Linked DNA regions of Canis lupus familiaris. The protein of the gene in region 1 purifies or fractionates together with the protein of each later gene. This does not show direct contact. Links are inferred from orthologs where the notes say so. Each region holds a gene or a part of one and is shown on either strand. Other genes may lie near its edges.

Region 1 (4,030 bases):
ACAGGGATCCCTGGGTGGTGCAGCGGTTTGGCGCCTGCCTTTGGCCCAGGGCGCGATCCTGGAGACCCGGGATCGAATCCCACGTCGGGCTCCCGGTGCATGGAGCCTGCTTCTCCCTCTGCCTGTGTGTCTCTGCCTCTCTCTCTCTCTCTCTCTCTCTCTCTGTGACTATCATAAATAAATAAAAAATTAAAAAAAAAAAAGAAATATAGTACAAACTATTATTTCAAGTAGTCTTAAGCACCGCAAGGGTTTCTGTGAGAAACTGCAGTCTGAGAACTCAAGATGCCTGGTAGACATCTGAGTCCTACCCACTTGTTCTTCCCCAAACAGGAGCAGCCAAGAAACTTTAAAGGTACAGTGGATGAGGGAGATGCCCCTGAATCTGGCAAGAAGGGGAGTCAAAAAGACATACTGTAACAGGTCAACTCCTTCTGCATTAGAAAAAATACGACTGGAGGTCTCTCTTGCCCCAGAGGTTGATCAGTGAGGCACTCCTCCTTCCCCTCCTCCCAACAGCCCATTCCTGGCATAAACTGGATCCTCTTCAGTCAGGTGACAGATACATACACATTATTTCAAGTATTAATTAGTAATGACTTCTTTTCCACCACGCTGTAATAAAACTTCTATGTAAACAATATCTTCATTACAATTAATAAAACTTTGTGGCCTATGTCAACACTATGTTTAATTTTTTTTCTTTAATGATTATGAATTGTGTGACCTTGAGAAAGTCACATAAAGCCTCACTTTCTTCCAACTCTAAAATGGGAATAATGGAGTGGCTCAGCCGGTTAGGCGTCTGCTTTGGGCTCAGGTCAGGATCCTGCCTTCCTGGGGAGAAGGCCTGCGCCTCATTGGACTCCCTGCTCAGAGGGGAGCCTACTTCTTCCTCTCCTTCTGCTGCTCCCCTTGCTGGTGCTTTCTCTCTGTGTGTCAAATAAATAAAATCTTTAAAAGAAAAAAAAAATGTTTTTAATAAAATGGGAATAATGGTATCTACTTAACTGGGTCACAAGAAAATGAGAGGAAATGATGCGTATAAAACATGCAGGGGCCGGTAAATAGCAGGCACTCAATCAATGTCAGCCTGGTTGTTCCCAGCCCCCTACCCCCACCTGGCAGGTTTCTAACATGTACTCTTACATATGAACAAAGTCACAAATCATATACAAGCTTTTAACCAAAAAACCTTTAAAATCATGCAGAATGCATTAATATTTTTAAAATAATCGTGAGATACAAGTCTATCTGTGAGCATTCATTATCGTTCCTAAACCTTAGTTTTATGTTCCGAGTACTAACCTAATTTCCAGTTTTAATTCATCTCAACAAAATTTAGCTAATTCAGCTATACGGAAAAGGGGACTAAGAGGGGCAAGACATTACAAAAACACAGCATTCTCCTTTGATTATAGACTAGAAACCCATATATGTAACAACGTCTCAACAGACTGCTAAAAGCAACACCATTCAACACTGAATCGACTTCAAGAAAGTCTTCTAAACTTAAAAAATAAAAATAAAAATAGATAATGGGTGATCAAAAATAATAATAATAATAATAATAATAATTTCCCCTCCCATCACTCAGAGGAGGAGGAATAATATTTAGTGTCACAACATACAAAAGTCTAACACGCCAAGAATGTCTAGATACCCCTAACTACCAAAGACTTCCCATTTGGGGCCATTTTTATCAGACCTCCCTCTGAGGGCTCATTTCCAGAATCCAGTCTCAGTACAAGGACACCATTATTTCTCAAATTAATCCCCCAAACGACAAAGCTAATTAGGTGGAATGGAACAACCAACTGACCCAAAACTAAGTTCTCCTTTCCCTACAAGGAATTCAGAATACGAGGGTGGCCCACGGCCCAACATATCCAAGACAAGAAACCAAAAAGATAACCGAACGACGCTAACAGGTCTGCTACCCGGAGATTCACCCACGATCTAAAAAATATGCTTATCTGTCACAAGGTTTGGAGACTGCCACGAACTCGTAGTGTGCCCTTCCAACCTCTCGCTCCTCCCCATCTCGTTTTTAAAAAGTATTGATAACGGGATGCCCGGGGGGGGGGGGGGGGTGCTCAGCGGCTGAGCGCCTGCCTTCGGCCCGGCCCGGGGCCTGATCCGGGGTCCTGGGATCGAATCCCGCGTCGGGCTCTCTGCGTGCAGCCTGCTTCTCCCTCTGCCTGTGTCTCTGCCTCTCTCTCTGTGTCCACCACGAATAAATAAATAAATACTTAAAAAAAAAAAAAAAGAAAGGTAAGATAACCAGAAAGTAAGAGCAACAGCATCGTTGGCCTGCACTGGGGCAAAGGGCTTGCAGGTTTGGTCCGCGTAAAACCTGGAGGAGCCCGGGACCGGGGCCCTGGATGACAAGCGGGGGGCGGAGAAGCTGGCAGCTGGAGGCTGTGCGCGGGGAAGGCGGCACGGCGTGGCCGCGGGCTCCGCGGCGGGTCCGCAGGGCGGCGGCGCGGGCTGCACTGGGCCGCGGGCGGCCGGAAGCCCCGGGGTCGGCCCGACCTGCCCGTCGCGACGCAGGCGGCCCCACTCACCGATGAGCCGGCGCACCTCGTCCTCGCTCAGGTAGACGCTCACGCTGGGCCCCGCGGCCGCGGGCGACAGCGCGGGAGGCCGCGGGGCCGGGGCGGCGGCGGCGCCGGGCGCGGGGAGCAGCGGCAGCAGCGCCAGCAGGAGCAGCAGCGGCAGCGGCGGCGGCGGCGGGGCCCTGAGGCCGCGGGTCCCCGGGAGGCGGCCCCGGCCCCGCCGCCCCTGCCGCGCCGCCCCGCGCATGGCCGCCGCCGCCGCCGCCGCCGCCGAGGAGCGCGGGCCGCCCGCCGCGCCGCCGCCACCCACCCCCGGCCCCGAGCCCCTCACAGCTCCGAGCCGGGGGCGGCCGCCCAGCTCATCGCGCCGCCGGCCCGTGGCAGCCGCACGCCGCTTCAGACCGCCGGAGCGCGCCGCCGCCGCCGCCTCCTCCTCGGCGGCATCCTCCGCTGCACGGGGGAGGGGAAGGGAGGGGAGGGGAGCGGAGCGGAGCGGAGCGGAGGGGACGGGAGGGGGCGGCCCGGGGGCGAGCGCGTGCGCGCGCACGCCGCCCCCCGAGAGCGCGCACGCACGCGCCGTCCGCTCGGGGCGGGGCCGGGGCGGGCCGGGGCGGGGCCGGGGCGGGGCCGGGCCCGCAGGGGAGCGCTTTGATTTTCCGAGCGCTGCCGCGCGCGCTAGGGGCTCTCCGGGCACCCTCCGAAAGGAGCCGGTCCCCGCCCCTCGTTGTCACCAACCTGATGTTTGCACGTCTATTGTCTGCAGCACCCCCGCTCCCCGCGACACACAGTCCAGACCGGCAGGCCCGGGCCGCGGCTGCCCCCGAGCCGGCTCCGCGGGGGCCGAGGGACTGCCTGCGTGCAGCCGCTCCGGGAGCAAAAGGGAAACTATTTTCCCCTCCTTCTCTCTTTTTTATTTTTTACTTTATTTTTTTAAAGACTTTATTTATTTATTTATTCATGAGAGGCAGAGACACAGGCAGAGGGAGAAGCAGGCTCCATGCAAGGAGCCCGGTATGGGATCGGATCCCGGGCCTCCAGGGTCACGCCCCGGGCCAAAGGCCGGCGCTCAACCGCTGAGCCACCCAGGTGGCTCCCCTCTTTCTTTCTTTTTTAATATTTTATTTAAATTCAGTTTGCCAGGGCAGCCCGGGTGGCTCAGCTGTTTAACGCCGCCTTCAGCCCAGGGCGTGACCCTGGAGACCCGGGATCGAGTCCCACGTCGGGCTCCCTGCATGGAGCCTGCTTCTCCCTCTGCCTGTGTCTCTGCCTCTCATGAATAAATAAATAAATAAATAAATAAAATCTTAAAAAAAAAAATCAGTTTGCCAAACCTGTTTCTTCTTACTGAGAAAATGGTGAAAAATAGAAAGCACCTTTGATCCCACCATCGGGAGGTCCACATTAACCTTCCTGTGTCACTATCCCATGGATAGAATACTACGTGCACTTATTCTCCAAAAAGATCCTGCTCA
Region 2 (4,094 bases), on another chromosome or scaffold:
CAATACTGAGTCTCTGTTTGCTGATTTCATAACTTGGGTCACCGGCTATATCCTGGGTGAGCGGGGTGTGCAAACTTCTGGCTATCTGGGAGTCAATCACAGTCGCGTTGGAAACACTTTCATTGACAAACACATGCACCAGAGTCGTGGTGGACTGGGAGGGCTGCCCGCTGTCATTCACTTGCACCACCAACCTGTGCAAGCCGTAATGCTTTTGGGTGAGCTTCCCCACCAAGGAAACCACACCGCTGGTGGGATCAATCTCAAACAGCTTGAAGGGATTCCCTCCCACAATGCTGTAGTTGAGGTCTGCGTTGATGCCATCGTCGCTGTCCGTTGCCAGCACGGTGGCTACCACTGTCCTGACATTACTCGAAGGTGGCAGTAAAGTGTAGGAAATGTTTCTGGGAAGGGTGACTGTGGGAGCGTTGTCGTTCTCGTCCATCACAAAGAGGGAGACGGTGGCCGTGGCCGACCTGGGAGGATCTCCCCCATCCACAGCCTTGACCCTGAACGTGTATGTGGTCTGGTGCTCCCGGTCGAAGGACATGGTGGAGTAAATGGTCCCCGTGTCGTTTTCGATGGAAAAAATGTTACTGTTTTCCTCTATGTAGAGGCTCATCTCTGCATTGCGCCCCTTGTCAGCATCCATCACCGTGACCATCCCCACAGGGCTGTTGGGCTGCAAGTTTTCCTTCACATAAAAGGTAAAGACGTCCTGCATAAACTTAGGGTCATTGTCATTCCTGTCGGCCACCTGCACGATCACCGTGGTGCTGCCCTGCAGCACTGGGATGCCTTTGTCTTTGGCGTTAACTTTAAACTCGTACCTGTCGGTCTGCTCGCGGTCCAGCACGGTGTTGACCAGGATGTCCCCAGAATCGGGGTTGATGGCAAAGGTCCCCATCACGGCGGAATCCAGAGAATAGGCAATCTCTGCGTTCTTCCCACTGTCGGCGTCGGTCGCCAGCACCGTGGCCACCCTCTCTCCGGGGACGTTGTTCTCGGGGAAGTAGACCTCCACCACCGACTGGCCGAAGACGGGCGGGTTGTCATTGGTGTCTCCGACCTTGACGACCAGGGAGTTGTTGCTGGAGAGGCTGGGGCTGCCCGAGTCCACCGCCACAATGACCACGTTGAATTCCCGGGTGGTCTCGTAGTCCAGGGGGGCCGAGGTGTGCAGGAAGTACTTTTTCTTGTTCTGGTCGCCCTCCGTGTCGCTGGCCGGCTTGAGCTGGAAGGGCACGTCCCCCACCACGGTGCAGGTGACCACGCCGTTCTCGCCTTGGTCGCGGTCGGACACCTGCACCAGGGCGATGGGGGTGTCGACCAGCACATCCTCGGCCACGTTGGCCACCCCGTCCTTGAGCGGGATACGCCCGATCTTGCGGATCTCGATGGACGGCACGTTGTCGTTCTCGTCCTTGATGTTGAGCACCACCGTGGCCTTGTCGGTCTTGGGGGGCTGCCCGCGGTCGCGGGCCATGACGGTGAAGCGCAGCTGGTTCACCTCCTCGCGGTCGATGCGGTGCAGGACGCTGAGCCAGCCGGACGTCTCGTCGAGGCGCAGCAGCCGCCGCACCGACTCGGTGGCCGCCCCGAACACGTACTCGATCTGCCCGTTGACCCCCACGTCCAGGTCGGCGGCTCGCAGCTGCAGGATGGGGGTGCCGGGGGCGCTGTTCTCCGCCAGGTCGGCCTCGTACACGCTCTTCTCGAAGCGGGGGCTGTTGTCGTTCACGTCGGTGATGAGCACCCGCAGGATGGCCTGGGAGGAGCGCGGCGGGTCGCCGCCGTCCCGCACCCGCAGGGTCAGCTCGTAGGAGTCGCGCTGCTCGCGGTCCAGCGCCCCCTTCACGATCAGCTGCGGCTGCTTCTCGCCATCCGGGGTGTCGGCCACCTGCAGCTCGAACACGCTGCTGCGGCCGCCGGGGCCGGGGTTGGGGCCGCCGCCGCCGCCGCCGCCGCCGCCGCCGCCGCCGCCCTCCGGGGCGTCCGGGCGCCTCCTGGAGCCCCCGGGGCCGCCGCCGCTCGCGCCGTTCCCGCCGCCCCCGGGGTAGGGGGCGCTGTCGCCAGGCCCGGCTCGCCGGCCCTCGCCGCCGCCGCCGCCGCCGCCGCCCCCGGGCTCCTGGAGCAGCTCGTAGCGCTCGATGCCGTTGCGGCCGAAGTCACGGTCGGTGGCGGTGGGCAGCAGGTAGAGCGTGCCCACCGGCCGGTTCTCCTCCACCGTGAGCGTGAGCACGGGCGACGGGAAGGTGGGCGTGTTGTCGTTGATGTCGAGCACGATGACCCGACCCTCGAACAGGTCCACCCAGCTCTGCGAGGGCCCGATCACCGACACCTCGAAGTCCAGGAAGCACTCGTTCTCGTCGAAGATCATCTGACACTGGGGCAGCTTCTCGCGGTCGATGCGCCGCTCGCTGGTGCTCAGCTCGCCCGTGAGGTTGTCGATCTTCAGGTACTCCGAGCCCGACTCGAGGCTGAAAGTCACCTCGCCCGAGCCCGTCACGATGCCCAGGTCCGAGGCGACGTTGCCGATGCGGACGTCCGCCGGGCCCTCCTCGGCCAGCCGGTACCGGAGGAGTTGCTTGGCGGCCGCCAGGCTGAGCGACAGCGGCAAGAGGAGGCAGCAACCCAGGCACCAGCCGCGCGCCCACCCCGCGGTCCGCATCCTCAGCATCTTCTCCTGCTGCTGCTGCTACTGCTCCTTCTAGGCACGGCCCCCTCGGCGCCCCCCTCCTCCGGGGCCGGCCGCCGGCCCTCCGCCCGGTCCTCTTCTGGCTCCGGGAAAGGAGGAAGGGAGAGGAGGGAGGGGGCGAGAGCAGCGTGCGGAGTCGGCCGGGCGCGGGGGGCGGGGGGGGGGGGGGACCGGCGACAGATCCTTCTTCTTCTTCTTCTTCTTCTTTTTTTTCTTCCGCCTCCTTCTGCTTCTTCCGAAAGTTATTGTTTCATAATTCATGCAATGGGTGCTAATCGCCCGCTCGCCGGCCGCCGTTCAGTCGCAGCACTCACAGTTCACGGGACACTGCGCGCCGCGGGCTCGGCGCCCCCCCCGCCCCCCTCCAGAGTCATCCCCGCGGCGGGCGGAGGATCCCGGGCTCCCGAACCCCCGCTCGGCCGGATGGGGCCGGAACCGCTCCGGCAGGCGGGCGCTGGAGCCGGGAAGCGGCGGGGAGCAAGCTTGCAGCCTCCTCCCCCGCCTGCCAACCCCGTTCGTCTTTGCTGCTACTCGAGTTGAGTCCGATTCACGTTTCAGCCACTCACTCCAGACCCAGCTCCTGCTCCGGCTGCCCAGGCAAACGTGAGTTGCTTCCTGCACGAGGCGCTGGGGCCAGCAACAAGCCGGTCTGAACTCTGACTCCGCTCTGGCAGCGGGGGAGCCAGGCAGCGGATCGAGAATGAAACGGTGGGGGGAAAAAAAAAAAAAGAAAAGAAAAAGAAAAAAGAAAAAAAGAAAAAAAGAAAGAAAAAGAAAGAAAGAAAAAAAAAATCCCTGGCAGGTCGGTCGCTTCGGGCACCGTGCAGTGGAGACCACTCGCGTCACACGGCGGTCCGCGTCCGGGTCCCCCCCGCGCGCCGAAGAGCAGCCCGAGCCATCTTCAGAGACGCCCGGAGAGTCAGTCCCTTCTCACCCCCAAGAGCTCGGGTTTCTCTTTTTTTCTTAACAACTCTGCGCAAGGTCATTAGTCACGAAGCCGCCGCCTGAAACCGCAGCAGCCGTGCGCCCGCGGGGGCGAAGGCTGAGCCGTGCGCACCGCGCGGTGCCCAAGTTTGGGTTCGCAGCCGCAGAGTCCGTGCCTTTCCTCACCTGCATTCGGCCCGCAATTCGGAGCACTGGGATCTGCAGCGCTGTGCGCGATTCAGGGAGGAGATTGCAGCCTCTCTCTCTCTCTCCCCGCTCTCTCTCGATCCCTCCCCTCCCTCCCTCTCTCTCCTCCCTCCTCCTCCTCCTCCTCCTCCTCTCTCTCCTCCCTCCTCTCCTTTCCCCTTTCCCCTTCTCCCACTCCCTCTCTCCTGCACGCTCCCTCTCCTTCCTCCCAGTCCCAGTGCTGGCAACTCGAGCTGAACTTGATCCCTTTGCAGTTCAAAGGTGA
Region 3 (4,052 bases), on another chromosome or scaffold:
TTAGGGGATAGAGTAAGAGGGTACTGCTCCACAAGCCAGGAGGAAGCCCCTATCCAGGAACTACTCCACAAGCCAGGAGGAAGCCCCTATCCAGGAACTAAATCAGCACCTAGATCTTGGACTTTCCAGCCTCCAGAACTGTTAGAAATAAATCTGTTGTTTAAGCCACTCACTCTAAGATATTTGTTAGGGTGGCCTAAAAAGACTTAATAAGACAGGATGTTTTCCGATCGCACTTATTTAGATCCTCTTAAATTTTTGTCAACCACGAATATTCTCACTGTTCTGATTTTGTAATAATCAGAGCAGGCTAAACATTTGCTATATTAAGACCATGCATGTGTCCCCAGACTTAGTTCCTTCCCTAGGTCTGGTTTTATCAGTGCTGGTGATAGACCAATTCTGATTTATAAGATGCATCTTATGTAGGAAATGTCTGATTCAAGGCGTCTGATTTTTTTTTGAGAAATGACAGCAAACCTAGTGTAATAACTTTTGAAGATAACCGTTGCTAATTTGATGATTACCGTTGCTAATTTGATGATTATTTAATGGTAATGATGATGATTATTATTTAATGCCATTAAATAAACTGTAATACTTAAAGAAAAAGAAAAAGCTTTACAGTTTTCCGAGTAAAACTGTTGTGCTTCTTTTGTTAAACTCATTCCGCAGTATTTTATTCTTTCTGGTGGTGTCAAAAATCGAATTGTTTCTTAATTTTATTCTGAATTGCTCATTGCCAGTGTACAGAAATACCATTTACCCTTTTTTTTAATATCCATCTCCCTTCCCTAACAGGTTACCATTCTAAGATGTTTAAAGCTTCTGTTTTCGTTCTCTTTAACACTGCCTTGTTTTGTTTCTCAAACTTACGAAAATGGTTTGGAGTTACCTGTCACTGTTTCTGCTCTTCGCAACTGCTTCAAATCCTGTCTCATTGCTGCGTGTACAGCTAGTCCATTGGTAGAAGGTAATGAGAAGTGGGTACAGCTAGTCCACTGGTGGAAGGTAGTGAGTTCTCCACATGCAAACCCACATTTGGCTCATCCCCAGCCCCAGTGATGGACACCCCGCCGGTCTCCTAAATTCCCACATCCCCACCCGTCCACCCAGCACCACTTGGCACATCCCAGTGGACTCTGGCCAATTTATTAAGTCTCAAGTGACATCTTATTATTTTTAACTTCTATTCTATGACCTCTGAATGCAGCTTTCTTTTTTTTTTTTTTCTCATTAAACTTTTGTTTTAATGGGTCTCAAAATTCTGTGACAGATTTTTGGTCAAGTTGTTTCCATTAAAAAGTACTGATTTTAAAAACTAATAACTTAAAACTGCCACACACGCACACACACACAAAAAAACAAATGGTCCACAAAACATTCTCCTTTCCTCCTGAAGGTTTTACGATGCATTGTTATCATTAACCAGTCTTTTACTATTAAACTTAAATGGCCAATTGACACAAACAGTTCTGAGACCCGTTCTTCCACCACTGATTAAGACTGGGGTGGCAGGTATTGGGGATAATATTCATTTAGCCTTCTGAGCTTTCTGAGCAGACTTGGTGACTCTGCCAGCTCCAGCTGCCTTCTTGTCCACTGCTTTGATGACACCCACAGCAACCGTCTGTCTCATGTCACCGAAAGGGCCCAGAGGAGGATAGTCAGAGAAGCTCTCAACACACATAGGTTTGCCAGGAACCGTATCAACAATGGCAGCATCCCCAGATTTCAAGAACTTGGGACCATCCTCCAGCTTCTTTCCAGAACGACGATCTATCTTTTCCTTCAGCTCATGAAACTTGCAAGCAATGTGAACGCGCCCGATCTCGTCTGAATGGAGCTTTCAACTAGCTTCTCACGGAAGGAAGTTAGACACTGTCTCAACAGGAGGCGCAATGTTAAGGCCCTCTCTGCCCTCGGACCATCAACACTTTCTCGCCTGCGATTTCCATTAAGCCCCTCACATACCGGTTAAGAACTGGCAGCGCGTCTAAACGACGCTTCATCTGCCTCGCTGCCTTTCGTTTCCTGTTGGATCCATACAAACCCCTCCGTGTCATTTAGGATAAGCCTCCGCAGACCACTGCCCTTCACCAGCAGGTGGAGGGGGAGCGTTTTCTTGCTTTCTCTCCTACTCGCCCCACCCCCCGCATCCCTATACTTTGCTTTTTTTTTTTTTTTCTAAGATTTTATTTATTTATCAATGAGAGACAGACAGAGAGAGAGAGAGAGAGAGAGAGAGACTGGGGGGCGGGGGGCAGAGGGAGAAGCAGGCTCCCCTCCTTGCTCCCTCCCTGCTCCGGTGCGGGGAGCCCGAGGCAGGGGGCGGAGGCGGGGGGGGGGGCAATTGTAAGAATTACAGGATCAGGCTGGGTGTGAATGAAGACTCAGAGGCAGAGGGCGGAGGCGGGGTGGGGGGAAGCGGGGGGGGGTGGGGGGAAGCGGGGGGGGGCGGAGGCGAGGGGGGCGGCGGGGGGCGCAGAGGGAGAAGCAGGCTCCCCTCCCTGCTCCCTCCCTGCTCCCGTGCGGGGAGCCCGAGGCGGGTCTCGATCCCGGGTCTCGATCCCGGGCACTTCCCAGGCCTCCCCGCCTCGCCGCGCCCCCGGCCCCCCCGCCCCCCCCCCCCCCCCCTGCCTACCTGAGCTGGCCGTCCCGAACCACAGGACCAGGACCAGGAGCGCCGGCAGGAGCAGGAGCGCGGGCAGGAGCAGGAGCGGCGGCCCGTGCGCCATCGCCAGACGAGCGGAGGCCGCGCGCACCAGCCCCAGGCCCCCGGGGCCGCGCCGCGAAGGAAGACACCGGGGCGGGGCGCACCCGGCCAGGCGCGCGTGCAGAGCCCCGAAGTCCGGCCCGGCCCTCGCCGCTCCCCTCGGAAGGGCCGTGCCCCGCCCCGCGCGTGGCAACGCCCGCACCAATCGGAGGTTGCGGGTCCGCCCACGCGTTGCTCCGAGCCCGCCTTCCAGAGGTGGGACCTGGCCTCCCGCGAGAGTGAGTTTGCAAACTGAGGCCGGGAGCCGGGGGGCCCGGGGGTCTCTGCTCTTACCCGGCAAGTGGCGCAGTCGGATGCACCCCCCACCCTCGACGTGGGCTGCGGTCACGATCCCAGAGCCCAGCCAGCAGCCCCCGACCCGCGGCTCCCTGCGGAGCCCGAGCCCGGTTCTCCCCGAGCCCCGCCCCTCCTCACCCCGCGGACGCCGTGGCTCTCTTAAAAAGTAGATCTTTATCTCTCTATATATAGATCTTTAAAGATACATAGAGATAAAGATAAATATCTTTAAAATTCGTTTACATTCTGAAACTAAAAACCAACCTATCTCCTGGACGTTTGGCTCAAACACCAAAAGGCGGCCCTTCCCTTGATGGGATGGACACTGGGTGTTTACTATAGGTTGGCAAATTGAATTTTAATAAAACAATAACATAAATAAAATTTTAAAAAAGGCAGGACACATGGGTGGCTCAGCGGTGGAGAATTGCTGGATCTCCAGCAATTGTAAGAATTACAGGATCAGGCTGGGTGTGAATGAAGACTTAGAGGCACCGTCAGTAACTAAGCAAATGTTGACCTTCTCACCTGCAGAACAGCATGCGAAGTGGAAAGAGCATAAATCTGGGAGGTGAGCAGGGTGGCCACACTGATACCAACTAGCTGCTGAGGGGCCTTCAGAATGTCACAGTTTCTGGTCCGCAGTCTTAACAAGTTAAGAGATCTACAAGGTTAGGTCCAGTCATAGAATTCTAAAATCCTAAATTACAACTCTTCTCAACTGCTACCTCTTCCAGGAAGGCTTAACCTGAGGAGGAGTCCTCTTTGGTATTACTAGCATGATTAAATAACTTCATCCAAAGGAAGTTATCTGTTGAATCCCCATACTTGCCTGGTTAACCACTCTGCAAACCACTGGGATTTTCACTTGTGTGCTATTGAGTTAGGGATAGAAGGGGCTAGAGAGGGAAAGATAAAGGAAAGGCCCAGAATCAGGGTCCTATGAATCCCAAGGAAACAAAGGCAACAAAAATGGACAAGGAAGTAAATCTGGCCTGCT
Region 4 (3,562 bases), on another chromosome or scaffold:
CTTTCTTTCCTTTCTTTCCTGATTTTATTTATTCATGAGAGATACAGAGAGAGAGGGAGAGAGAGAGGCAGAGACACAGTCAGAGGGAGAAGCAGTCTCCCTGCAGGGAGCCCGATGTGGGACTCGATCCCAGGTCTCCAGGATCACGCCTTGGGCCAAAGGCAGGCGCTAAACTGCTGAGCCACCCAGGGATCCCCGCCTGCAGAATTTTCTTGCTAGAAATCGGATCTGCCCAGTTCAGGAGTTTGCCAGACAAAAGAATAGGAGAGCATTTCAGCGAGGGATCCTGGTGGGAGCAGCACCCACAATGGCATCAGAAACGTAGGAAATCTCAAGGATGGATCAAGTCAGGGTGGCCGGGCTACCGGTGGTGGTAGAGGGAATGTTCGAAGAGGAGTTTGAGGCGTAGATTTTAGCCAAATCACAGGATGTACTTAGGTTTGGGGGGCAGGGTTCTCTAAACATTGGAGAACTGGAGTGTTCTTTAAAACAACAAGATCAAATTTGTTTCTTGGAAGGAAATTCTGTTGGGAACGTGGACATAGGATTGGAGAGACATTGACATCAAGAGAGAAACTTTGGGATGAATTCTTGAAACAGTTTTTTTTTTTTTTTTCTTAAGATGGCTAATTATTTGCCTCCTGAGTACATAGATTTATTTTTTATTGAATGCTGAATAATTTATAATTTAACAATCCCTGATAAAATATGTAAAACACTCCTTGATCAGCCCCAAATCCAGCTGTTCTATTTGTTACCATGTTTTTCTAACCTGATTTCTAACATATTTCTTAGTCTCAGGGGTACTTGGGCTGAGATCAGAGTTTGCTTGAATCTAAGTTTCTATTAAGTCTGTGTTCCTTTTGTTTGTATGGAGTCTGCATTTCTTTTTGTTTCTGTTAAGTCTGAATTTCTTTTTGTTGACAGTCTGAATCCATCATAAATCACCTTAGAGTTCCATAAGTCCAAATTAATTAAACTCACATTTGTGGTAGGCCGCGTTGGTGCTTCTGTCTATAATTGATTGTTGTAAAATTGATAGAGTGATCGCCCAGACCCCTGATCTGTTTAATGCTATCGACTTCAGCAGTAGGTGTGTTACCATGGGAAAATTCACTTTCGAGTGTGAAGTAATTCCTTGTTTACTGCTTTAACTCTTGGAAATACAGTTTGCATTTCTCTGTAGTCTCTGCTGCTTTTCTTCTGTGCTTCTGTGTGGTGTCCAGATATCTCCTTTAACTGATAAATCGTGCTCACTGTTAAGTATCGTGCACATCACATTCAGCAGCCTGGCCAGCGGCATACAATCAGGGACAGCTCGTAGCCGTCTGAACTGTCCTTTCTGGTTTCTGCATGCTCACGTGCCAACTTTCTTTGTGTTTTTCATGTGTGTTCAGAATACGATCGTCGAGGCTTCTATTCAGCTTCCTCCCTCCCTTTTCTCGCCAAAGCAAAAAAGGGAAGTCAGATCACCTGATGACTCTCTCTACAAGCTCCAACTCATCGCATTCCGCAACGGAAAACTCTTCCCAGCCACTGGGAATTCCACAAACTTGGCTGATGATGGAAAGCGGCGTACGGTGGTTACCCCAGTGATTCTCACCAAAATAGGTGTGTTCGGTGGCATATGTTCTTCCTGTAGTGACCGGACAGTGGAACTCTATGATAAGCTGTACCAAAAAGTGCTTATTTTTGTTCCTTCTCCTTTTAATGAGTCCCTAGTAAAAAAAAAAAAAAAAAAAAAAAAAAGAACTGCAGAGTGCCCATTGGTGTATAAGTCGACATTTAATTGTTTCTGAGGTTTGTTTCAGAAATCTTTCCATCTCCCATCTTCTCCAGATGGCGTGAATGTGGATACCCACCACATCCCTGTTAATGTGACACTGCGTCGAATCGCACACGGAGCAGACGCTGTGGCCGCCCAGTGGGATTTCGATCTGCTGAACGGACAAGGAGGCTGGAAGTCAGATGGGTGCAATATACTTTACTCGGATGAAAATATCACTACCATTCAGTGCTACTCCCTTAGTAACTATGCAGTTTTAATGGTACGGCAGTTGTTAATTTCATACATGAACACTAAATTTCTTAATTGTTTCCCCTATGCATTTAGTTAATCTCGAAGATTTTTTTTTTAAACTTTCAATATAAGTTGTTGACTTTAGTTAAGAGGTGATATTTGGTGTAATTCTGAATTTAAAGGGAATTTAAGTTACTACCAAGTACAATGTATGGGATTGAACTTGGTTATAAGGATTTTCAGTCACCTTTATAAGGGGATCAGTTCAACTAAACTTTGAGCTTATAAAAAAAAAAAAAAAAAAAAAAACTTTGAGCTTATGAAAATTTGGAGACATTTGGGGTTTTATATCGTCCAACTCTTAGTCAGGAATGAGTGACTCATTTGCCCAAATACACGGTGCACAGTGAGATTTTTCTTCTTTGCCAGCTAGCACTTTTCCCCACGATACATCCTAAGTTTTAGACTCATGAATTTAGAGTAGTGGTGGCAAGTTCAATTTAGTCACGGTAAATGACAGTATTGACATGGGTCATGTCTTTCTGCCTTTAACTCTAATCAAGCTAATGTTATTTTCTGTTATTCACCACTGTTCATACCTGTTAGTCTTTGGTAGCCAATTTCTTTAGTCTTGGGGAAACTAAAATGTGTAGATAGATGTACATAAACGTGTGTGTGAACATACAGAGACCGTTCTTTTATTAACGAGTTACTTAAGTGAACCTGGTTCCCAAGCTGGTAAGTGTGAAATGAGCCATAATACTTTAATATATTTTATGCTACAGTATATACATGGAGTATGTGGGCAATGAATTTGGAGAACAGTGAAAGGAATTACTTATGAATCTGAAAGACATTTTAGAGAAATGGCACAAGGCTAGCGTGGGAGCGAGGATGCTTATGTTTCTGTTCCTGCCTCCAGCTCTGAATCTGTTATCTAGACAGTATTTTATCAAAGCACTAAATAATCTTGAAACAGGATATATCTTAGCTTTCGTAAATTCTCCTTTAAAAAAAAAAAAAAAGCGCAGGGCACCTGGGTGGTTCAGTCAGTTCAGCGTCTGACTCCTGATTTTGGCTCAGGTCATGATCTCAGGGTCCTGGGATCAAGCCCTGCCTCTGACTCTGCACTTAGCAGGGAGTCTGCTTGATAGTCTCTCCCCCCGCTTCCTCCTCCCCTCCCCTGCTTGTGCTCGCTCGAGCACACATGCGCTCTCTCTTAAATAAATTAAAAAAAAAAAAAAAAAAAAAAAAAAAGCTCATTTACCACTAGAAATGATTTTGAAGGCAGCTTGAAGTGGAATAGAATAGACTTTCCTGAACTCCTTTTTTGGTTTTCTCTTCGCACCTCAACTAAGTACATGCCTTACCCAGCATCTGGTGAGACAGACAGACGAGGAAATATATTGTTTATATATTGTTTAGCAGGGCGTGAGGATTGTCTTCAGTGACCCCCATTAATACCTCGGTTATTTAGCTCAGCTGACAGTGGGTGGAGTCTACACTAGTCAGACTCAGCATATTTGTTTAAGTCATTTATCC

The links.
Region 2: the proteins of RYK (region 1) and PCDH7 purify together in Homo sapiens (affinity purification with mass spectrometry; 3 studies listed by BioGRID and IntAct, with this or other methods). This does not show direct contact. The link is inferred for Canis lupus familiaris from reciprocal best matches to the Homo sapiens genes RYK and PCDH7.
Region 3: the proteins of RYK (region 1) and NCR3LG1 purify together in Homo sapiens (affinity purification with mass spectrometry; 3 studies listed by BioGRID and IntAct, counting the BioPlex papers as one, with this or other methods). This does not show direct contact. The link is inferred for Canis lupus familiaris from reciprocal best matches to the Homo sapiens genes RYK and NCR3LG1.
Region 4: the proteins of RYK (region 1) and ADGRA3 purify together in Homo sapiens (affinity purification with mass spectrometry; 3 studies listed by BioGRID and IntAct, with this or other methods). This does not show direct contact. The link is inferred for Canis lupus familiaris from reciprocal best matches to the Homo sapiens genes RYK and ADGRA3.

What each region holds. Positions count from the first base shown.
Region 1 is NC_049244.1:31,574,265-31,578,294, forward strand, and holds the start of RYK (tyrosine-protein kinase RYK), read right to left. Parts: upstream 2,806-4,030; coding exon 2,568-2,805; intron 1-2,567. UniProt on the Homo sapiens protein: May be a coreceptor along with FZD8 of Wnt proteins, such as WNT1, WNT3, WNT3A and WNT5A. Involved in neuron differentiation, axon guidance, corpus callosum establishment and neurite outgrowth.
Region 2 is NC_049224.1:80,974,877-80,978,970, forward strand, and holds the start of PCDH7 (protocadherin-7), read right to left. Parts: upstream 2,802-4,094; 5' UTR 2,681-2,801; coding exon 1-2,680.
Region 3 is NC_049242.1:40,592,433-40,596,484, reverse strand, and holds the start of NCR3LG1 (natural cytotoxicity triggering receptor 3 ligand 1), read right to left. Parts: upstream 2,813-4,052; 5' UTR 2,739-2,812; coding exon 2,645-2,738; intron 398-2,644; exon of another isoform or gene 266-397; intron 1-265. UniProt on the Homo sapiens protein: Triggers NCR3-dependent natural killer cell activation.
Region 4 is NC_049224.1:88,004,096-88,007,657, forward strand, and holds part of ADGRA3 (adhesion G protein-coupled receptor A3), read left to right. Parts: intron 1-1,397; coding exon 1,398-1,611; intron 1,612-1,839; coding exon 1,840-2,048; intron 2,049-3,562. UniProt on the Homo sapiens protein: Orphan receptor that may have a role in planar cell polarity pathway.